3 linked regions of the Struthio camelus genome follow. The protein of the gene in region 2 purifies or fractionates together with the protein of the main gene of each other region. This does not show direct contact. Links are inferred from orthologs where the notes say so. Each region holds a gene or a part of one and is shown on either strand. Other genes may lie near its edges.

What was found.
Region 1: the proteins of TNIP2 (region 2) and TANK purify together in Homo sapiens (affinity purification with mass spectrometry; 3 studies listed by BioGRID and IntAct, with this or other methods). This does not show direct contact. The link is inferred for Struthio camelus from reciprocal best matches to the Homo sapiens genes TNIP2 and TANK.
Region 3: the proteins of TNIP2 (region 2) and MAP3K8 purify together in Homo sapiens (affinity purification with mass spectrometry; 3 studies listed by BioGRID and IntAct, with this or other methods). This does not show direct contact. The link is inferred for Struthio camelus from reciprocal best matches to the Homo sapiens genes TNIP2 and MAP3K8.

Annotation. Positions count from the first base shown.
Region 1 is NC_090947.1:27,036,777-27,044,740, reverse strand, and holds the start of TANK (TRAF family member-associated NF-kappa-B activator), read left to right. Parts: upstream 1-4,872; 5' UTR 4,873-5,011; intron 5,012-5,216; exon of another isoform or gene 5,217-5,343; intron 5,344-5,626; 5' UTR 5,627-5,760; intron 5,761-7,964.
Region 2 is NC_090945.1:77,064,227-77,072,441, forward strand, and holds the start of TNIP2 (TNFAIP3-interacting protein 2), read left to right. Parts: upstream 1-5,108; 5' UTR 5,109-5,461; coding exon 5,462-5,938; intron 5,939-8,215. UniProt on the Homo sapiens protein: Inhibits NF-kappa-B activation by blocking the interaction of RIPK1 with its downstream effector NEMO/IKBKG.
Region 3 is NC_090943.1:18,073,138-18,080,708, forward strand, and holds the start of MAP3K8 (mitogen-activated protein kinase kinase kinase 8), read left to right. Parts: upstream 1-4,190; 5' UTR 4,191-4,308; coding exon 4,309-4,446; intron 4,447-5,121; coding exon 5,122-5,246; intron 5,247-6,230; coding exon 6,231-6,591; intron 6,592-7,571.

The sequences.
Region 1 (7,964 bases), on a different chromosome or scaffold from region 2:
TGTGAGTAAGAATCAAGAAGAGCACTCTGTTCTCTCAATTGTCAATACTACGCTGAAGTCACAGAGCCATCTTTTCAGTTGTAAAACAATTTAAAAGTTAAAATGAAGAGATGGAACAACTGTATTGGCAGGAAAAAGACTGAATGGATGAATCATTCAAAAATATTTTTCACTGTTCAGAGCAACAGAACTATTTGTTTTCAAGTTCCACTATAACATACAATCAAATAATACAGAAAAAAAAGGGGTATCAACTCATTATGTCAAGGAGTCATAGATACATTCTCAGTTGCTTTATCATCTTGTAAAAATAATTTAAGTGGATTTGTGTTTTACTTAAAAAACAAAATAGAAGCAAAAGATTTTACTATAAATTTCACTTTCAGTGGAAACCTGGAAATTTTATTGCATTATACGGTTTTTATATATACTAGATTTCATTGTTAACTGAAAAAAACTTGGACATTAACCAGTGTATTTGGAGACCCAGTTCAAAGCTCCTGCACTAAATAAACTGCAGTTAAACTATTATATACTGTCACACTGTCACCAGCTAAAGAATCGAAAAAATCTCCATCCACCAGTCTTTGTAAGGCCTTTTTCTCAAGGCATGTCTACAGCCCACCAAACAGCAAGGTTGCCATGCTATGCATTTACATAGACATACCCTCTTTTAAGCTTTGTGTATACTATGGGTTAAAATGGCTACTGACAATGAAAGCCACGAAATTATGCAGCTGCTCCATTGGTCATCAAAGTTTAACTGCAAAAATAGACAAACATAAACTGTACACTGCATCTTTTCCAACCCAGTTACAATTCACTGATCCTCTTTTATAAACCTGCCAAAAGGTTTTATCTTCTAAATGGATATTCTAAAATAATAAAAAAATAATTCTAAATTAATGGTGTAAGAGCTTTTGGAGCTTCTCCATTAGTAATGTTCCCTACCCTTCTAGGTATCCTGTCTTTCACAGGAGATTGTTTAATGTAGACAAATTCCTACACGTTTGTATCAGCATGTAGTCATTAACGTAAGAACATATGCCACATTGGTTCAGACCCATCTTCTCTTCGGCAGCGGCTAGAAATCAATGCCCTGGGAAGAGTAAGAACAGGGCAAGCATATGTGATACTTCCTCAGAGTTTTCTCCCAGCTGCCAGCTATTTTCAGGTCAGGGAATTTCCTGAGATTGATGCTGCCTGTCTCTTTAGTTTCCCTCAGTGAATCTTTCTTCCAAATACTTGTCCCAGTCTCCCCTTGAATCCAGAATCAGTGCATTAGGTTTGTGCTATTCTTCTCTAAGAAGTATTTCAACCTCCATCTTGTTTCACTCTCTCTATGTAACACAGGCAATATTCTATATAGATGAATAGCACTGGTTTTACCAAGTTGTTGCTACTTTCTATTGGTTTCACTAGCATCACTGGCTTTTTCTTCTCCATGTGTTTAAAAAAAAAAGATTACAAAAAAGATTACATTGGGTGCAGCAGTTACTATGTACTGCTCACTGTTTTCAGGCATGCCTGTTCATGCACTGCTCCCTTTTCAGGCAGGGTAGCATTTTCTCATGACAGTGAGCCTCCAGAAATCACTGGAATTATTCATGAAAATAAAGAATGCTGCACTGGGTCCAAAGCCAGTTTTACAGACTGTTTCTGCTAGCCTCTGTTACAGAGAATATCTGGTTGTTTGCAGTTGCATATAAGGAAGTTCTGCAGTTGGGTATTTCTCAGTGGAAGTTCCCAGCTAGTATTAGTCATAACCCGTACTGAAGTACAGAACTGCATTTCATAATCTTGTTGGCACTGCTCTCAGATAACGTAGGCATTGACCGTACTGTCACTGAAGAGCTGACAGAAGAAAAATATTCTTAAGGAAGTTACTTACAAGGTAATCAAAACCTTTGGTTTCCATTGCATGTAAAGAAAATGAATAAATCATTCCTACCAACTTCAGTGTGCTGATATGCAGAAAAAGTATAAAATGAGCTACAAACATTGTAATTGTACTAACACTGCTTTTACACTGCTTAGACTGCACCAAGTCTGTATGTCTGCACTTTGATTAAACGTTGCTGAGCTAGTTTCTGGAACCCAGGATTTACCTGTTACAATCTATAGGCAAAATGCAAACCTTATTTGCATTGCATGGACTTAAGTTTCCACAGGCTCATCAACTAACTACTCTTTCTTTTGGGGGAAAAAAAAGATTCAGCCTCCTGTTCCTTATTGCTAGGGAACTATAACTTTCACTCTAAATTAATCCACAGTTCTCCTTTTATGACCCAGGAAAGGCATTTCAAGGCATTTTTTGTGGTAGGGGGAAATAAACTATCGAAAAAATCCTGTAACAACACGCAACAGTACAGATTTTGTCCGCACCTAGAATTGTGCCATACATTCCTTTGGAAAAGCCGACTAGTTCTGGAAAAGGTTTAAACATCTGACGTGAGCCACCTAGTGTCTGAACGCATGGCTACAGCAGGAAGTTTCAAGAAACATTTTAACCTGTTTCTGACAGTCTGTAGAAGCCAACTGGTACTTATAAACTTAAACCGTAAAAATGAATTGATTTAAACCGTTACTGAAATACAGTCTTTCTGCAACTGCTGCACTGCAAGCATATCTTAAAAACAGTCAGACTGGTAGATTCCTAAAACCTCAGATGAGAGTTAAATACACTGAAACACGCTTGTTCTTCCCAGTTATCTTGTGAAGGCTGCAGGTAGGAACGCAATTCTGCCTTAACAATGACATAAAAACGTCAAATATTGATGTGAGACTGAAATGCAGAAAGTGTTTGTTGGAATAGTTGTAGGGATGGAGATACAGAGACTAAAGAGGGGGAAGCAGAAAAACAGAAAGAGAAAAAGAAAGCAAGATGAGGAAGAAAAGGACAAAAATAACGAACCAGCGGGGCAGAACCCACTCTTCCTTTAAAAGATCACAGTTAAAGATCAAGTTAGCTACCGAATATAGAGCTTATACTCTGACTTTCACAGGTGTTTTTCTATTTAACAAGAATTTATTCAAAGCTTTGGAAGTTTCTAAGAATGTTAAGATATGTCACTGCTTGCAATGTACATTCTACCATACTTGGGGAGGAAATGCAGAAAAGAAAAAAAAATTCCTGAATAACAAAGATAGAAAAAAGATCAGCTTCTCTTGTGCTTTATTGTGAAAGAATATTACTTATAAAGCACTAAGAGAATAATGCATGTGACTTGAAAACCAGTCATGTTGCTATATGGCTGTCAACTTTGCTCTGTCAGGTCTAAGACCTTCACAGCAAACTTACATTAAGTACACTGCTAAAATTTAATAAACAAACATTTATTTCCTACAAAAGCACTAACATGTAATTATACCATTTCACAGATGGTATATATGTTAAGTATGTCTCTATTCAAGTCCAGGTATCCATACTCTTAGTTGGTTCATGCTTATTGTCATTTGTTTGCCACACCTACTTGTATTTTTCCTGCACATTACCTGTTTTTAAATATAGTTTCAGTTAAATCATACTTATGTACATTGATCTGAATTCAAAAATTGCAGAGCTTTTTTATTTCAATTACTAATTGGGATAAATTTCATTATCATTTGAAGTACAGAGTTTCTTGGTAAGACTAGATAAAGATTAAAAAAGTAGAAACTAAAAAAGGAACAAGTGGGGGGTGTGTGTGTGTGTGTGTGTGCGCGTTTTTTCAACAAAGATCTAGTTAAATGAAACCTGAACTTAGGTATCTCAAACAGCCTGTTAAATTAAGATAAAGGTCTCTGAAAGAGGAGATTTCTCCCTTTCTTGGGAACATGCTAAAGGAGAAAACCCTCTCTGAACCTTAATAGGTTCATTAGAACCTCACCCAAAATTCTTAAATTGCAGCTAACTAGGAAACGTGTTTACTGGCTCATTAAACTATCCACCTACAAGTCTCCTTAGTCTTAGAAACAGACCAGAACAGACCAAAAGTGTTGTTAAAGACTTATCAGGAATGGTAAGTCATAATGCAAAGAACTGTCAACAAAGTACAGCGAACAACGCCTGGCTCCCTTCGCCGTACTCTTCCTACGCCTGGCCTCCGCTGCAAGCTCCCGCTCGCACACCTGACAGCGAGGCTGCCAGAGCCGAGACGCAGACGCGGCCATCCAGGTTCTGCTCTGCGAGCGCGCACGCGGAACCACTGTTTTAGCAGAAGAAACCCCGCAGCCTGCCTGTGCGCAGACAGCTGCTGGGGAGGGGAGACAGGTGAGGCTAATGCAAGTCTGTAAGGCCTCTCTTCCGCTGTCTTCACGACGATAACCTGTGCAAGCACATTGCTCCCATCAACTCTCCTCCTCGTACACCCCTTCGGGAAGAGTTCTGTTCCTACATGCGACCAAGAGAAAGAAGGGCTTGTGGCAGTAGCAAAATTGAAATTGTTAACTGCATTTCCATTACAAGCTTATCTATAAAAATCTATTGCCTGCAATAACTAAATGCAGAAAAAATGTCACCTTAATAACTTACAAGATGCTTTAGAAAGTACACTGGGTACAATAAGTATAATCGTGTCACAGATATGAGCATTTTTATTCACAAAGACCACACACAGAATCATGAAAAGACTTAAACAGGAAGGGAGCTCTGGAATTGACGTAGGGCTCCTTCTCACCAGCACTGCACCGCAGACCCTGCTTGAGGGGGGAGGGCGGCAGCCAGGCAGAAAAATGACCCGTGATGAAGCCATCGCAGGCACAGACGGAGGAGAGCTGGGGGAAGCGAAGCGAAGCGAAGGCTCGGGCGAGGGCAGACGGGGCAGCTTCGCCTTGCGCCCACGGCGGGCGGGCGGGCGGGCGGCGCGCCCGGCGCTCCCCGCGGCGCCCGGCGGCCGCTGCCCCGCGGTGCAAGGGCAGCGCGGCGGGCGGGGAGAGCGCGACAGGAAGTCGGTTCTGGTTCCTGGGTTAAGGCGCTCGGGCAGGAGCGGGCGCTCCGTGCCGGGGCGGCCGTGGGCTCCGCCAGGTGCTCGTAAGTCTAAGTCGTTCCTGAAGCCGCTCTGCTGCCTTCCGCGGGGAGCGGCGGGCGCTCGGCCCGGCGGCGGGAGCGCGGGCCGCAGCATCCGGCGACGGGCTTCCCCGGCCGGCCGGCCCTGCCCTCGGCGCTTCCGCCGTCGACTCCTAGGGGTGCCGTTTCCCGTCTAGTTCCGCTTTGCCCGGCTTAGGGAGCGCAGCGGGGCGGGGGCGCGTAGCCTGCGCGCGGAGGCGTGCTGCGCCCCCGCGGAGGGGGCCGGGGCGGGCGGCGCGGCGCGGGGCAGCGGGCTCGCTCGTTGGTGGCGATCGCCTGCCGCTCCGGCGAGCGAGGTACAGAGAGAACTGTCATTTCTTTCCTGGCAGTAACAGCTTGGGGGTGGGGGGTGCTAAACCCCAGCTCTCCAATAATCCTCATCTCTTTCCCTGAGCTCGGAGGGTCTGTCTGCTCTCTGAATTGTAACGCTGTTGTGACATGAGTGGTTTTTATGGGATTGCTGACTCTTCTCGCAGTAGTGCAAAGCAGGAGTTATTTTGCCCATTAGGAAAAAAAAAAAAAAGCCCATCGAAAGTGCAGTGAGCTCTCTCAGTCTCTCACAAATGATTACTTCAACAGGTTTCCAGTTCCCAAGATGATGGCAGTATAACTTACAAAATATTTCCACCGAAGAAACTGTTTTGAAGGCAGAAACATGTAGAGAAGTACTTGCTTCTGGATGGCATCTGTATTTTCATGTGAACCTACAAGAGGTAGGCATGTTGTGTTATGAATGAACTTGTATACACACTGGATTAGCTAAAACCTTTTCTTGCAGAATTTAGGGTGTTTCCTGAGGCACTGTGAAAACGCACAGTGTGTCTTTTTAGTGATCTCTGGTGCTGGGATTCCAGGACGTACGTGGCAGAATGTTGCTCGTCTTTGTGTTGGGGCTTTGTTGGCGTTTAATACAAACTTCCTGGGAAATTTTCGCTGCTGCTGTATTTTTTCCCTTCTATATCAGTGAAATGCTTTTCACTTGAAACAAGCTTTAAGGGTATCTGCAGGTTTCATTTGGTTTGTTTACTGAAAAGTTTATCTTAAAACATGTGCTATAAACTGGTGTTTTCCAGTGTTCAAGTCTTCACTCAAAGATGAAATTCTGGTACTCATTCCCATAGTTCCAGCACCACAACCCTCAAAGCTATTTGCATTTACAGGACTCTCTCATCAGACACACTCTGGAGCTAATCTCTCTAATTCTGCACTTGTTAGAATGAATACAGCATTTTGTATTGCTGAATCTGTACTGACTCTATATTGCTGCTAGTAATTGGTAAAGAGTTTTGAGGATCTACCGAACGTCTAGAGCGTCAGTTGCTAAAGATTAGGATTGTGAACTTTGGGCTGAAGATGTTCCAGTTGCTATATCATTGCAGCATAACCCAGATTAGATTAGTGGGAATACTTGTTTTTTGGCGGTTTGGGGTTTTGGTTTTTTTCCCCCCTCCTAACTGGATGCAGGGAGCAGAGTTAATGGCAAGGAACGGTTGGCGATTTCCCTGAATAAAGCTGATGCCTGTGGAGGAGAAGCAGGAAAAGGAGCCCTTTTTTTAATCCCAAGGAGTTCTGGACATGAGATTCCTGCTTCTTATGTTATTTATTTATTCCAGCAGTAGGCAACTCGGGGTGTGACTACAGAGTAGTTTAATCCAATCTAAATCTAGGCTGCTGCAGTCCTGCCCACAGCTAGTCTCACGTTCCCACTGCCTCCTTGTGTTGGTAGTAGCGCTCCAGCAGCCTTGCAGTGAGCTAGCACCAGCTTAACTTTTTGCTTGTTTGTTTTGAGGGGGTAGGGGGCTAGTTCTCTGACGCAACTCACAGGTGTAGCATATAAATGCTAACATTGGTACACGTAGATGGCAAAAATACGTGGCACAGGATGGAGGAAGGCAGGAAGTATCGATTTCTGTGGCAGTGCAGACCTAAATCACGTTACGTAACCATGGCTTCATGCGATAATTTCAAAGCTAACACTACCAGTGAAAACAGGAGTTCTGTGTGCCTTTTGCTCACGTCTTCTGTGTCAGTGTTGATGAGCTGTAGTTTCAGGAGTTGATACTGAAATTGTTTACAAAGTGTAAAAAGATGACAGTATTGTGTGAAAAAAATCCATTTAAAAAGTCTCCATAATTTTTACTGGTTAGTACAAGTCCCTTGTAGTGACACAGGCACTGGTGTGATTGTGCAGTGTGAATTAGTCCATTGAACTGATCTGCACTATAATTAACACAGCAAAAATACCTCTAGCATTTACTTTTAAGCTGTGTTGATTCACTGATATGGTTTACAGTGGAGTTGCTTGTGCTGGCAGAAGTGGAAGGGTGAGGTGGAAGCAGAATCATGAGTATCTAGGAGTATAAGTGAACGCAGGACTAATTCTTCTAGTAACAGTTCCACCTTGAAGTGTCCAGCTGCACTAATTTTGACTTTCATTGCCCCTTTCTTACTACATGAAATCTGGATTTTTGGGAGCTACCAGTAAATTAACATTTTCTAGGGGGAGGGGGAGTGGTCCTCAAACTTGGACTATAATCAAACATTCTCCTTATTCTTACTTCCTAAGCAGAAAGGCAGGTGTAGGGTTATAGCTCTTTATGGTGTAGCAAAAATAACTGATCCCACCTGCGGTCCAGACAAGCCAAAATCTGCTGATACTCCCAGCCTCAATGAGTAAAGAAGAGGCTGGAAGTTGGGGATAACTTTTAAGTACTAATTTTTACATTGAGATTTTAATTTAGAATAGCTTCATTTTCTATGGAGTATGAACCATCTGTAGCTGAACTCCATTCCCTCCATTAGAAGCTGAACATAGTCCTTTAACTCAATTTTTGAAGTTACTTTATGTACAGGATATTACAGTTTATTACGTAAACTGTTACAAATTAAGTGTCTTCTGGAGAATTTTGAAGAAGTA
Region 2 (8,215 bases):
AAAGCATTAAAGGGTCACAGAGCATAACAGAAGCTTGAACTAATCAAAAGACCTGAGCAGAATATGTACAAGTGTATATCCTGCTTATCTGCCAAGACCTATAAAAATGAGACTGAAATGGAACAAAAGTAGAGGAAAAACTCCTTAGACAAAAGCAAGAGGATTACTTTGCATCTGTCTAATGTCATTACTCTTCTTCCTGGTTACTTCAGCCTTACTGCAATTAAGAAAGCAGGTCTTGGAACTTTGCCTTTAAGCAGAACGCTCTATTTTTTGGCATCTTCCAAAGTTCAAACTGCGTAAAACGTATGGGGAAAAGCTTACGCTAGAAATAAATAAAATCTGTGCTATTTCTCCTAAATATTCTTATGTTTACATTTTTGAGTCATTCAGTAAATAGGGCTTAATCACCAAGTATATAAACTGAAAACAAGACTGAAACAGGAATGTTGCGATCCAAGCCATAACTTCAGCGCAGGGACATGGCTACGTACAAATGTCATAACAATGAGTTCATCCGATATCAGGACTCCTGAATGGCCTCAAACTAACCTCTGTATGAGTTTCCCATTCAAACTGTACAAAATGTAGTGCATTAAATTATCAGAACATCCAATTTAATACTATATGTTAAGGAAGTTTACCCTTCCCCATTTAAGAAATTATCAGAACATCCAATTTAATACTATATGTTAAGGAAGTTTACCCTTCCCCATTTAAGAACTGCAAACATGACCGCTGCAAACACGACATCACTTAAACTATGAGTCATAGAAGCATAAACTATTCGGTCAGCATCCAAATTAGACTCTGAGACTTATGAAGAGCTCTAAGTTGGACACCTTTTGTAGCTGTGGGTATTCTAAGATACATCAACTGATCTCAGTGAGAGGAAAAAAAAACTGTTAGTGATTTTTATTCCTGTTAACACTACAGAGTCAAAAGTTAAGGAAGTGTGCGCTGCTGTTGATTTTTTACCAGAGAGCAACAAGAGAATCACTTACTAATCTATAATTAGTTACACTTTGATAAATCAGCTCAAGGCAATGGAACAGTATCATTAGGTCACAATTTAGTCTCCAGGACCATTATAAATGGTGACTAGAGGAAGAGATGGGAACAGATGCAGCTTGGTTGCCTGAATAATTTCTGGAGTTCACAGCTCAAAAAAAATACAGTTTCTCACAAATCAAGCATACTACATTATCTGCAGAATGACAGAACCCCAAAATCTGTTTTACAGACTTTTTCAAGCAGAACTATACTTTTAAATACAGAGACTCACTCTTGTGTCATTTGCACTAAAATTACAGAGACATAACTACTACAGTCAATGGAATTATTCTTAATTTTCACCTATATGAAACTGAAATCAGTTCATCATATCTTTTTAATAAACCTTAAACTACAAATAACTCATTTTAACACAAATTTATAAAAAAAAATTAATGCACGCTTAATTCACTCTAGCTATATTGTTTACTTTTCCTTTTTCCTAGTCCTAAGATCAGCTTAGTATCCTTTCCGTTTCTAGCTAGTATTTAACCACTTTTGTTTCTTATACACTGTGTAACACTTCTCATGCATCATAATAGTGGTTGGTGATATGTGAAGAATTACTTAGAGCAACTTGCCAGATTTTTTTTTAACAAAATAGCAACATTCCTACATTTCTGAAAAGGCTGATTTCTTCAGCAAATCTAATTTGAGCTTAGATTTTACTTGCGTGGCTCCATCATTGTGTTACACCCTACTATGAGATAGAGTCAAAGTGAACTTCACTTTAGATTTTAAGTTGAGGCTGGTAAGGTTTGGAAAATAAAGGATTTTCATTATATGAAGTAGTGCAGAGCATACTTGTTGTTCATGCAGTTCTTTGCCAAGCAGAATTACTGTGCTTAATATCCAATAATTTCATTGCCTAAAACTGAAAAAGTACAAACATGCAACTTGGTAGACCATCTACTTTACCGGAGAATCTGATAAAAAAACCACACTGAAGGCAATCCAGGAAAAGCCAGGTACAGTAAGAAACACGTCTTAAGATCTGACTCATTCTTTGGCGCTAGCGTCTAGCTGCTGAATTCCCAAGAATTCCTCCACATTTCAGAACTGACAAAAGGAAACCGTCATCTAAGGGCATTCCCAAGAACACGCGGGATCAATTTCTTACTCAGGACTTACGCAGCTCAAATTTCCCTTAAGTCAGTGGTATTTTCCTTGGGCAAGTGCTTGCTTATCCAAAGCACTATTAATGTCAAGTTTTCAGTAATTAGATGCAATGTTTGATTTTAATAATTACAAACACACTGTATTATAAATTATTCTGTTTGATAGCTAACTAAATGCTCTGATATCTGGTCAAAGAATAGTAAGCAGGATACGGCCATCCCATCTGTAGATCCTTGGAATCTCTGAGCTTCCCAGCCATTGCTATTTGAAGCCAGATAAACTTCTCCCCAGCCAGTGCTTTATCATATATTTCTAAAAAAATTTGTTGACAGTCAGCAAAAGTGACTTTGCTGTACATTTTTCACCAAGCTCTAACTGTAGCATAACAGTACTGAAAATACTGAAAATATAAAATGAAGCCTATTTATTTTTTCACTTTTCCCACTAATGTATATGAAAACTATAAAATGCTAGTATTTTAAAGTAGGAATTATCCTTTCTTTTTTTCCTAGTAAAAATGATGCCTCAAGGTTGTAGGAACTAACTTTGTTCTACATGTAGACAGTCAAAAATTGTAATTTCCTCAACTTTTGATCATATGATTTTCCCGTGTCCTTAGTCACGGTGTATTTAGATTATTTACGAGATGAAGTAACAAACACACTGTAAACCATTATCTTGGGCAACTGTTTTATCCTTTCCTGTCACACAAGCTCTTCTACCCATAAAATTCAGCTTTGTTTTTATGAATATTTACACTAATGGAGCATTTTGAATGTATGATCTTTTGGGGAACGCCAAGACCTTTTCCAGCAGTACCGCGGTAGCAAAATGATGACTTTCTACCTTTCTGCTACTGCTGAATTCAATCACAGGACCACAGGATAATTCAAGTTGGAAGGGAATTCAGCAGGTCTCTGGTCCAAACTCATCCTCAAAGCAAGGTCAGCTATCAGATCAGGTTGCTCAGGGCTTTACACAGTTAGGACTTGAAAATCTCCAAGCATGGAGATGGCACAACCTCTGTGGGCAAGCAGTTCCAATGCTTGACTGTCCTTAATGGGGAAAGGTTTCCTTATATGCAACTGGAACCTCTTTTGTTTCACTTTGCACCTGTTATCCTTTCATGAAAGGCCAACATGTCACACCTTGCACTTTCATCTCACAATTATCACCAGGATTCTGACCCATCACTAGCAGGATTGAGCCAGTGTCATGTCTTTGCCATACAGACTCTTCTACAGTCATAACTTTTTGATTAATTTATGTTCTCAAACATTCCTCATTGTTGTGGCTTTTATTATGACAGCTGTAAGTCGTTAAGATGCTAGCACAGGGAGGCCGCTCTCTGTCATACTGATCAGAGTCTACCCTTTTTATCTCCTCTACCACTGGTAACCAACCATTTTCACTTGCTCTATAATTAGACAGGTATGCTTTTTGGTCCAGGACCTTCTTCCATGATTGTACAGAAGTCAGTACAACAAGACTGTGTTCACATGTAGAGCTCTGTGTGACTACGTCATTATAAATATTATTACAAACAATAATCAGAGCTTTATTTTCTTACCCTTTTAACCAGGGTTTTATGACTTTTTTCCTCCCTTGGTGTTCTACCAGTACATGATAATAACATGGGTACAATTAAACCAATCCAAACTACTTCATATTAGTTCAGCTTATCCCCCTGCTTGAATGAGAACTACCGTACCAAATAAGCTGAGTAACTGTATCTTTGGTTCTACTGCTATACAGCTAATAGAAAAGATATCCACCACAGGGGTGGCTAATAGGTGCTGGCTCAGTGTGAGGCAGCTAGTTTCACTTACATCAACAGCGCTCTATCTTCTTCTCATGAACACATACAACGTGTGATGAACAGGTATAGACACAAGCTGACCAAACGAATTTGTGATGACTGGAAGATGATCCACTCTCTCCAGAGTCTTTCCTCACTGGAGTGAGCTTCTCCTCAAAGGCTGCAGCACTATTTTAACACATTTTCCTCTAGATGCCTGGGTCCAAAGCTTTCCTACTGTTATTGATGCTGACCCACCAGACTTTTATCAAAGATTTCCAGACATTTCTTCACTGCTTGCACTGGCCTCAAAGCATCCTTTTGCCCCTGCCAGGCCATAGGGGAGACCCTGCTCCCATGCCTGGCTCAAGACAGACAAGCCTCGGCCACGGTTTCAACACCGAGATGCCTACACTGAAAAGCGAGTGCGCCCACATGTCCCCCCTCGCTGAGTCTCCGAGGTGGCCACTGCTCCCGAAGCCGGTTTCCAGAACTGTTAAGGGGGTAGGACCCCAAGCCCACCGCCCCCAGCTGCCGTGGCGGCCCCGCACATGGCTGCGGCTACCGGGCCGGCGGCTCCCGCCTTCCCTGCGGCCCGTACGGCAGCGGCGTCACGGCCAAGTAACGAGGAGCCCTACCGGCCGGGCGGCCCGCCGCCTCCACAGCGGGGAGGCGGGGGAGACCGTTAAACGGCCGGGAGCGGGGTGGGGTGGGGGAGGGAAGCTAACCCCCCCTTCCCACGGCGCATGCGCCTCCCTGGCCCGCCTCCGGGGCGGCTCCGCCGGGCGGAGCGGCGCCAGCCGGTGGGGGCAAGGGGTCGCGGCGGGAAGTCCCCTCCCGGCGCCAGGAAATTCCCGGAGCGGCTCCCGTTGGGACACCGCGCCGCGGGGCTTTCGCAAGGCTGGGCGAGCCCCGGCTTGGAGCCCCCTCAAAGGAGCCTCGATCGCCCCGCATCTCCTTCCGCCCCCCCCCACTCACCTCCTAACGGTCCCTCGTTCACCTCGCGCCTCCCCCCCCCCCCCCGCCCAACGGTCCCTTGTTCACTTCAGCCTTCCCTCCCCCCCCACACCCCCCGCCCAACGGCCTCCCTCGTCCACCTCCTCCCTCCGCCGTCAGCCCCCTCAGCGGTCCCCGACGGTCGCTCTCCCCCAACGGCCCCTCACTGGAGCCGGGCTCCCCGCCGCTGGCCGCCAGGTTTTAGCTGGCCGCCGCCGCGCTGCCCCTGCCCGGGGATCCCCGGCCAGCCCGCTGTCCGCGCTGGCTCCTCGCCCCGGGAAAGCTCTGCGCTGCGCTGCGGCGGGGTTCCCCCCCGTCGGCGGAGGCGGGGCTCCGCTCGGCCTGCGCGGTAGAAAAAGCGGCGGTGCTAGGGGAGCGCAGCAGGCGGGTCCTGCGAGGCCTTAAAGGAGAGCGGCCATCAGCGGCCCGGCAGGCGGAAGAGCGAAGGAACAGCGGCAGTAGCCGCGGCCCTGCCTGGCTCGTCTTTGGCTTTATATGCACCTGGCTGGATTATTGTTCGCCCCGGAGAAGAGAGAGAAGGGGCAGCAGAGTGATCGAGGCTCGCCGTCCTCGGCCATGTGCTCGGTAAGCGAGGGTAGCAGTACAGACCCCTTGGTGGCCCGGTTCAAACAGGTGGAGGAAACGCTGGAAAAGCTGCACCGGGAAAACAAGAGCCTGAAGAGTAAAGTGCCTCGGTACAACGCTCTCTGCACCCTGTACCACGAGTCGGCTCAGCAACTGAAGCACCTTCAGCTGCAGCTCGCCGTCAAGGAGGCGACGATCCGGGAGCTGAGGAGCAGCCTGGCCCGGCAGCCGCCCGCCGCGGGCGAGCCGGCCGGGGCCGGGGCCGGGGCCGGGGCCGAGCCCGCCCGCTCCCTGGTGGAAAGTCTCCTGGAGCAGCTCGGCCAGGTCAGGCAGCAGCTCAGGGACAGCGAGCAAACCTCGGCACAGAAAGTGGAGACTCTGAGCCAGGTAAACCCCACCTGCCCCCCGGAATAGCACTTGTACTTTGAGCGTCGCCTGCCTTTTCCAAAAGGTTGTGTGTACTTGCAGCAGATTGTACCTCGGGAGCTTTATTTCTGTACTTCTTCCTACAAAAATGACGAGTTTTAAGTTTAGTGTTTCCAGCACTTGTTGTCTTGAATGGAGCATCTGACTTGAAATATACTTGGTGATGACCGTGGTTATAGACATACTACATTTGAGTTTATAGAAGCACGTTTAGGTGCACAGGCACCGACACTGAAAACTTGGTTTTAAGTGACTTGCCCAAGGTGGCATAGCAAGCTGGGGGCAGAGCCTGGACAAGAAATCAAATGCTTTGAATGATCTGATGCTCCTTGATATGTTGGTGCATTTGACAGGACTTGCATTAACACTTTGTGTGCAGAGGTGGACTGTTTGCAAATCAACTCAACCCTATGTATCAAAGATTAGTTTCTACTGCATTAAGTTCAATAACATAAAAGAGCTTTTTTTTTTTTTTAAAGCAACTGTAAAATCAAAACTTAGTGTGGCATTGTAAATCATAACATAACTATTTTCCACAAGCAGAAGGAGAAAATATTCAGTAACAGCTAAATTCAGGAGTTCCATATTACCTATTTAAAAACAAAAACAAAAACCTTCCTCTTTATCAGATGTAACAGTGCTGTTCCATAAGATAAACAATTGATGCCAACACTTTTTCTATTACAGTATTTTTTTTAAAAGTTCACTTTAAAAAAAAAATGGCTTCCTTGTTTTGTCATTAAAATAGCACTGTAATGCTTGGAGAGGTAACTAGCAACTCTAGATTGTGAGGCAATAGATTGAGGGAATAGGCTATCTCTTTATGACAGAAAATAGTCTTAAAAACTGTCTCATCCCCCACAAGTACTATTTTTGGTACTATCATTAAGACTTTCCTGTGTTCAATCAGAAAGAAATGCTTTAAAATTCTTTTAAGTATTTCAATATGAAGCTGCGTAAAGGAATTTCCAAACCAAAAAGTAGTGCTTAAAATTGAAACAAGTATTTTTGTCATAAGTAAATTCTTGACCTAATGCTTATACAAAACACTTTCCACATATGACACTCACTTAAAATACATTTAAATAAGTTCAAGTTTGGAAATTTGTAATAAGTGATAATCTTACGGACACTTTGCAGACAGATAACAAACCTGTGCTAGCTAAAGACATTCTGAAAATTGACGCTGGAACTTATGTCTCTAATCTGCCCAGGAACTGTAAGCATAGCAAGGGGGAAATTTTATCATTTAGCAAGAAGTTAAAGAATTTTAACATTAGTAACAAGAGCAAGTGCTATTCCTGTAAGTTAGACTAATCATTTTATTACTTCTAGAAATGAATGTTTCATGCCAAATCAAAAAAATGAAATAACTGTCACTAAAAATAAATAAAAAAACAGTGCCAGATAATGTTCTGAAGTCAAAGGTCTGTGTGCTGGAAGAAGATTGCTTACTGTGATTTCCAGCTCCATGATCAAGGATTATGATTGCAACCCTTGAAGAACTGGAAGGGTAGGGTCAAGCTTGTATCTTGTTGTCTAGCCTGGTATCCAGGGCAACACTAATTCTAGAGGAACAGTGCTGTTACCAACTGTTACCAACTTCCTTTCTTCTTTGAGATCATGAAGGACAAGCTATTTTTGACAGACTCGGGACTGGTATACTCTAGGTGTTGCTGTGTGGCATGGTACTACAGCATGATTGTATCCTGGTTCGTAAGCAAACTTCTTCATTCTCAAAACAGCTGCAGCGACTGCAGTAAGCTATATAACTCTTTCCTAAGAGTATGTTAGACCCTCTCTTGTGTTTCGGGGACATAGTTATGGCCAGAATAGAGTTATTGCTACCACGGAGATTTCATTTTCTATTTGCTTGTCATTACCATTCATCCTTTCCTAGGCGGAAAAGTTGTTGTGTGTGCTATCTTTGGTTTGTCCTTTGCCTGGTACCATGACATGAGGAACACTTCATTGGTTTTTGATCAAATTGGAACTGAAAAGTCTTCTTTTGAGGTCTGCTATGTGGTAATTTGGAATGCAGGATCAGAAAGCATTTCTCAGCCTCTAGTCGTTTCTTTCAAACTGCTTTGTTTGCCGTAAGTTTCATCTTTAGCTTGTAGCTGCTGAATATATTTTACATAAAGTCTTCCTAAATTTTTGCTTATTGTTTTTTGATTTTTTTGATTCTGCTGACTTGTAAGTACTCGTATGGCTGTTGGAGCACTTCTTGTTTTTTTT
Region 3 (7,571 bases), on a different chromosome or scaffold from region 2:
TCCTCTTCTTTTCCTTTGAAGCTGATCTAAAAAAGGAGAATGGTTTCATTAAAATTAATTGTGGGTTTAGGAAAACTAACGACCTAGGCAGGTTCCTGAAAGAGGATGCCTAAGTTACCTAGCGTGAGAGCTGCTGTAATGTGTTAAAGGAGCGTTACTCAGCCTTAACCTGCCACCTCCGGGCTGCTGCCAATTCTGCCCTCCCCTACGCCGCACTGCTCTCCTCATTCCTCCTCCTACAGCCTACCTTCTTCCCAAATTCCCTTTATTTCCTTCTTCCATTTTTTTCTCCCTAGTCATCTTCACCATTCTTGAATTTATCCCATGTACATTTCTTAGTGAGTGTCCTGAACAGCACAATTGAGCAAGAACAAACTCGACAAGATCCGTATCTCCTGCGTGGAGATTTGCCAATGTATCACCTATACGTTGTGGAGAAGAAGCTCTGTGTGAACAGAGGTCAGCGCTGCTAGCAGCGTTCCTCATGCTAAACTGTGAAGCTAAAACACAACTAGATCGGGCTGCAAGGAGTTACACGTACTGAAAATAAACACTGAGGCCTAAGGTGAATTCTTTGTCCTGAAATTTTATAATGACAGTTTTGCCATTGACTTCAGTAGGCACAGATTTCACATAAGTCTATTATAACGCAGAAAAAAAAACAGAACATACAGCCCTTGTCTCCTAAGATCTCAAAACAGCTTCAACTCATCAGCTCCTAGTGTTGTGGGAAGTGGTTTTGGTGATCAAGAGATGCCGCTTCTCTCTCTCTCTAAGCAAGAACTAATGCACTAGAAGAGCAACTACCGGGGAGCACAGCCCTGCAAGAGTTACTGCCTGTTCAATGAGGAACAAAACGTAGTCCAGCCCATTTTTAGCAATTATCAAACTCATGATACAATCCCCCCAAGGATTTTAATCCTAAAGCCACTGGCAAATCCTACACGTTGTTGTCCTAAATTCCAGCGGAGTTTCAGCTGAAGTTTTACTTAGATACCGCTGAAGCTAAGTGTGCGTGGCGAGCGCATCGCCTCCCTTCTAGGTTCCAGGTGCCACACGTGGGAACGTCGGGGACTTTGGGAAAGGGCTTCCCCGAAGCCATGGACCAGAGACCCTGAACTTGCCAGCTGAAAATGCCGCAGGCAGGGACGCGGTTGGGCATTACGAGAGCACTCTGCGGGATTATTGTTAGACCACTGGCTGCTGAGGTGAGCAACCTACTTCAAATCCCCGTTCTGCCGGTTTTCTAGCAAAGCCTTGAATGCAGCTTTCCTCCATTCCAGGATGACCTAAGAACTCACTGGGTTACACAGTCATGTTTCTGCCCCCCCTTCCCCCCCCCCCCCTTTCTGGTTCAGAGCGTTCCCCCCCAGACGGCCGGGGCCGGAGACCGGACCCGCTTCGCCCCCGTCCCCGCCCCGGCCGCGGGCGGCACCTTTACGCCCAGGGCGGGGAGGTGCCTTCCAGTAAAGCGAAATAGAAACCGGGGCCGGCGTTGCCCGCCCGTCCGCCCGCCCCCGGGAGTTTCCAGCGGGGCCGCCGCGTCGGGCGGAGCGGCCGCGGCGCCGGCTGCGTGCGGGAAAAGGGCAGCGCGGCCTCACGCGGAGCGCGCCCGGACGGCAGGTGAGGGGCGGCGGGCGCGCAGCGCAGCGCAGCGCAGCGCAGCGAGGGGGCGGCCGGCCGGCCGGCGCGTCTCCCTCCTTCCCTCCCTCGGGGAGGGGGGGGCTCCCGGGGTCCCCCCTCCCACTTTCCCGGCCCGGCGGGGCCCCTCTCACCGCGGCAGCCCTCCGCTGCGTGCTTAGGGGTTGGATGGGGATTTGAGGAAGAAAATACTCTTTTTTGGGCGGGAGGGGGGTGTCTTTAGGAAATATCACTTTTCAATATTGGTTAGTGACGAGCCTGCAGTTTGCGTGGAGCGAGTTAAGGCGCTGTTCGCGCTGAGCCCCGGCCCCTTTTCAGCTCGCGGCCGAGCTCAGCTCTGAGCCTGCCCTGTGAACTGCAGAGTGCTTCCCTCTAAAATGCAGCTTAACCCGATTCTAGTGCTTTAATACTTGTTCTCCTGAAAGGGACCACAGTGCTACTGCTGTATATATAGCTCAGTGACCCTGTATCAAGGAGGCAGAGAACTGGGGCTGTAGTTGGTGTAGGAAATCGGGCTCGCGTGGGAGCGCGTTCCCCCGTGTGCGGTATGGGATAAAGACGCGTCGGACGGGTCGGGGCCCCATCGCTGTGAGTTCAGCGGTGGCAGCTGGCGTGTGGCCTGGGCATTGGGAAATAGCCTGCCCTGCTGCTAGGAGCAGCTCTAGGAGCTGGGAAAGGTGCTGGCACTGCCAGCTGCCTGCAGTGATGCAAGGGAGATGCGGCTGGGAGGGTGCTGGGGTTGCCCGGCCGGCTGCTGCTTCGGGACGGCGCGCTCTTCCTCCTCTCTTCTCCTCTGCCGCTTGTCTTCCAGCTTGCTGTTTGTCAGACGGTAGATCAAGATTCACAAGGTTTTAGGTGGGCAGTTTCCCGGTTGCTGACAGCCTCCTGAACAGCATGGTATTTGCTGCTAAAATCATACAATCTCTAGCACCTGTTCTCCTCCCTAGTTTAACTGGTTCTGTATCTGCAGACCGAAAAGGAGATCAGTGTATTGGTTTGTATTGGAGATAAACTTTTAGCCGCTGTAAGCATGAGAAGGCCACTCCCCACCCCCAGTGAAAGTGTGAAATTATGTAGAAATGGAAATTGTTGAATTTTTTTGTAACTTAAAGCAGTTTTTTTGAATGGAATAATGTTTTTCAAGGTCTATCAATAGGTTTTCTTAAAAACAAGTATAGATTTTTGTCCACCACTGATGGTTAACTGCATGCAATCAGACCAGAAAATTATTAAAGACAATACAAGAAATCTTTGTATAGGTGTGTGATTGTATTGAGCCAGTCTGTGCAGATTTACTTATTTAGTTTTTTTACTCTTGACACAGAAAAAAATGCTGCAGGAGCTCAGAGGAATGGACTGTCCGGTCAACCTTATGCCCTTTAGTATGACACATAAAGACATTTTCAAGCAATGCTCTCCTCAGGAAAAGGCTTTTCAGGGAAAAGCTAGCTACTCATGACAAATAGAGAAATAAACTCCTCGCATGCTGATTGCTCATGTGATGATGTTGAAATGATGACAGCAGTGGAGAAGAAGTCTTGTGCTTTATCAAGTTTTTAAGTGCTTACATTTAGTTTTCTTTTTCCACTGTAGGTAAAAAGAAATTTTTCATTGAGGACTTAGTCACTTAAAGTCTTCAGTCACTTGGATTGTATAGAATGATTTGGAGCGTTATGTGAGTGCCCGGTACAGGTCCTAGGACAGAATTCTAGGGAGGAAAGGGAGAACGAATTCACTGCTAGCAAATGGACAACCTTTGCCAGTGGTGGAAATGTAACCTATAAGTTGCTGCATAATTTAAAAAAGATCAGATTTACAGAGTCTAGAAACTGGTCTCATTATGTAAGCATTTGGTATCTGGAATTTACTAGATGCGGGAAAATGAACAGTTTGCAGCTGTTCTCGAGCACTAAAGGCATAAAACTGAGAATAAGCTGGTTGTAATAACTTTCTTCTAGTTGTTCAGACCTTTGTGGGTAGTAGTGCACCTGTTGAGAATAATATTAGGAACACGGTGCAGTTCGGGAACATTTCGAGGAACAAAGCAGAATTGGCACTGGTGGAAAGCTGTGTTTGGTCGAAACCATACAATTTTTTAATGCATGAAGATGCTATTAAAAAGTGAGTTATTTAAGCATGTTGTTGACCTGACTATATCCAAGAAGGACCAGAACTTCTGCAGGCTCGTATTCTTTCTCAGAAAGTCCCTTAGGACTTGTTTCTAACTTACCTTACTTTTCTCATGTAGTCTCTCAGTTCCTCTTATGGCTGGATTGAGTGTTTCTTTTCCCTCCACCCCCGTGAATGCAGCATCAAAAAGCAACCAATAAAAGCCCTGCTATGGAGAAAGATATAAATCTCCTTTATAAAGAGTAAACACTTTCTAACAGCCTCTAATTTGGGGATAGAGCAGGAAGGTGGGATGCTGGGGATTAGAAAACAGCCTTTGCTTCTGTTATTTCTTGTTGTGCAGCTTGAAAAGACCTGACCCCTCTCACTACCCCAAATACAAATTCCGCTAAATTAGTGCTAATGACCACAAATTTTTGTACTCCCACTTCCCTAAAGCTATGGGTATTGTTGCATTCACTTGATGATGGGTGAACTGGTATGGGTGAGTGCTGGTGAAACTCATTAACCACGTCCGTCCGGAGGGACGGTGGGGGCATGGTGCTACCCCGATGCTGTTGCCGCAGGGCTTGGAAGGGGCACCAGGTACTTGACATGCCTGGTCGTGGGCTGTGTCTGCAGTTTTCCTGCCCTGCCTTTCGAACTTGCCGCGCACGATCTGAATTTCTTTGCCAGGTCAGCCACGTCATTTTACTCGCTTTTCTTCAACGTTAGAGCTGACGTAAATACTCTAACCCATGAGAAATATGTACCGCAAAGGTTCCACGTCCTTGTGGGGAGGGTAAGGAAGATAGTAATCAAAACCAGGGACTGCACCTAAGTAAACGGCACTGCTTTGTGGCCCCAGCGGACTGAGTCTGCTATTTGTCCTTGAGATAGCTAGACTGTGCTTCTTTCTCTCTTTCTTTCTTTCTTTCCTTTTCTTAAAGTATCTTTTTTTTCTGGCTGTTATCTTTTGCACAAAATAGGTGTTCACAGTGGATTATGAAAATAGGAAGTGAGAGCTCTGTAAATAGGATGTGTTCTACTCGGTTCTGCCAGAGGAAAAGGAGATTCTTCTTTGTTACTTGCAAGCATTAGGCAGAGAGAATAAAACTCAGAAGCTTACCATGGAAAACTTATTTTTCCCCACTACTTGGAAATCTGGATGTTCATACAATTGCTTGATTCTTGTTTGAGCTGTCTTTTTTTTTTTTCTTTCTGCAAAAAAAAATCCCCTATTTTCTCAGCGCTGTGACTATTAATTTTTCTTTCCATGAAGCCTGTGAAGCAAATGTCATATGAGTAGAGGCCGGTCCTTCTGCTTGAGCAGGTCTGCCATTACTTTACTTTATTTTACTTTTTTAATAGACTGCTACAGAACGCTGTGAAATTGTCATCAGTGATAAACACAGGTTCAAGATACATGGCAGCTTGAGGCATTACATTGAGACGTTTTTGATGGTTTTGTGTGATGTAACCAGGATAAATATAAGGTAAGCATTCACTGAAATTTGCATGTTGAAAACTATTTGTATAAGTATTTTAATGATTGACTATGCATATATGTTTTTAACTTGAATACAAAAACTCTGTCTGGCTCACGTTAGGAACCTGGTATGGGAGGGGACTTCTTGGGACACTGAATCCAGCGTCCTGTCATTAAAGTCCTCTTTAAGAAAATGGTCAAGATCTATCTTAAAAGTTATTGTTAGAAATAGTGAGGACAGAACAAACTTCTGGAAACTGCTTCAAAAGCTCATTGCTCTTACGATCAGTCCATTTCTGATTTTCTTCTTAAATGAGTGAAAATTTCAGTCGAAGTCTAGTTCTGGTCAGTAATGTCATCTCAAAACGGGTGGAGTATTTCAGCTGTATTTCAGTATCTCATTTGTGCATTGCACAATGATACTAACAGATGCTTTTTGCTGCTGTAATGGTCTTGCTCCATGACTTTCTCCTCTTTGGGGGCACATCACATAAGTTGCTCAAGAACATTTGGGGATGAATTTGTATGGTACACTTACATCTCTGTCATCCATTTCAAAATGATGAATGCACTCTTAGAGCAAAAGTTATTAGTTTGTGAGGACATAAAACCTTGTTTTTTCTCCTGTTTCATTGCTTTCTATATAAGCTCATCTATATTAAGGATACCTCTTCATTTTTGCATAGTGCAGCAAAATATAACTAGTTCACGCTTCCGTGTTGTGCCAGCACCCGTAACAAAAATCTTTGATGAAGAGAATTCCAAGAGTGAGTGATTTGGAGTGTTCACTAACAACTTTCAAACAAAATTCCACTAATAAAGACTTTGTTTTCTCTGTCTCCTCTTCACCCAGTCTACTAATCATGACTTTTTGCATAATACAACGTACTAATTTTAAATCTAACCATATAATAATGAGCTTTTATTCTTACTCTGTTGAAACAACTTTAGATGAAGTGATTTCAGGTTTGTTTGTTTCTTTTTTTTTCAGGAGTGGTTTTGCAAAGCAGACAGTAATGGAGTATATGAGCACTGGTAGTGATAGCAAAGAGGAAATTGAATTGTTGCTGACTGATTTAAATATGTCTGAGGTGATAGACATCATGGAAAACCTTTATCCAGATGGGGACCTTGCAGTTTATGAAGACAGCATAATTACAATGTGTGAAGAGGCAAATCAAAATGAAGAGCGTGCAGAATCTTTACTGTTTTGTGAAAGGGAAGTTTCTTTGATGTCATGTGTCAAATATGGGACTGTGGAAGACTTGCTTGCTTTTGCAAATCAAGTGTCTAACACTACCAAACAACGTAAAGGATGCCGGCAGCAAGAATCTGGAATCCTTTTGAATATGGTATGTCTTTTTTTTTTTTTTTAACTCAAAAAATAAGGTTAGTTACTATTAGTTGATAGAAGTGATTCATGAATCTAAACAAAGATCACCTCCAATCTTAGAAGTCACAGTCAGAACATCGTTTCCTACGGGAACATGGGGCTGGTGGGCATCTCTGAGGCCATCAAGCCTAGCCCCTGCAGTCTCAGGTACCCATGGAAAAGGGTCTTTTGTTCAGAAAGGTCTGCTGTATGTTTACCTCTTGGTATCCCTGAAGATTAGAAAACACTTCCCAACAGTAAAGACAAACATGAGACATGCAGTAAAAGAGAAAAGCTGCAGGTGCAGTGGCATGCAGGAAGGACCTGGGAGATGATAAGGGTTTTCCAGTGCCTTGTGTCCATATGGTAACAGAGTCTGTTACACAAAACTCCCAGGTAAAGGTTTAGGATCTGTTTTAGTACAGTTGCTGAATTCACTCACTCTCTCTGGACAAAATATTGTAGAAAGCAGTAATACAAAGAGAAATGGCATATAGTATCAACTCTGACTTTCAAATCACTATATTATATAATATCATATACTGCTACATACTAGCACAGATATGTTGTTTTGAGATATGTTCTTTTTTTCCCTAAAATATTTTGTGTTGCACAAGCATCATTAGAAATTAGTGTTATTGTACTTCTGTTAAAAATCAGTTGCTTTGGAAACAAAACATCATGAAATGGAAGTTTATGCAAACATCTTTGCCTTCTGCTTTAGTTTCTTAATATATTCTAAATCAATTATCTTGGATATCTTCTATGCAATATGTTTTTTATGTGAGCATTGGTTGCTTGTGTCAAATAGCAAAGTCTTGTTTTACTCTTACTTGCAGGGGATATTGCAGTGTTGGAAAACAGTCGCTTTTTAAACTCTGTAATACTGAAGTGACACTTACTAGCATTAAATGTTTCCCATACTTAGGACACTGTTCTACATACTCCTGGTTGTTTGGT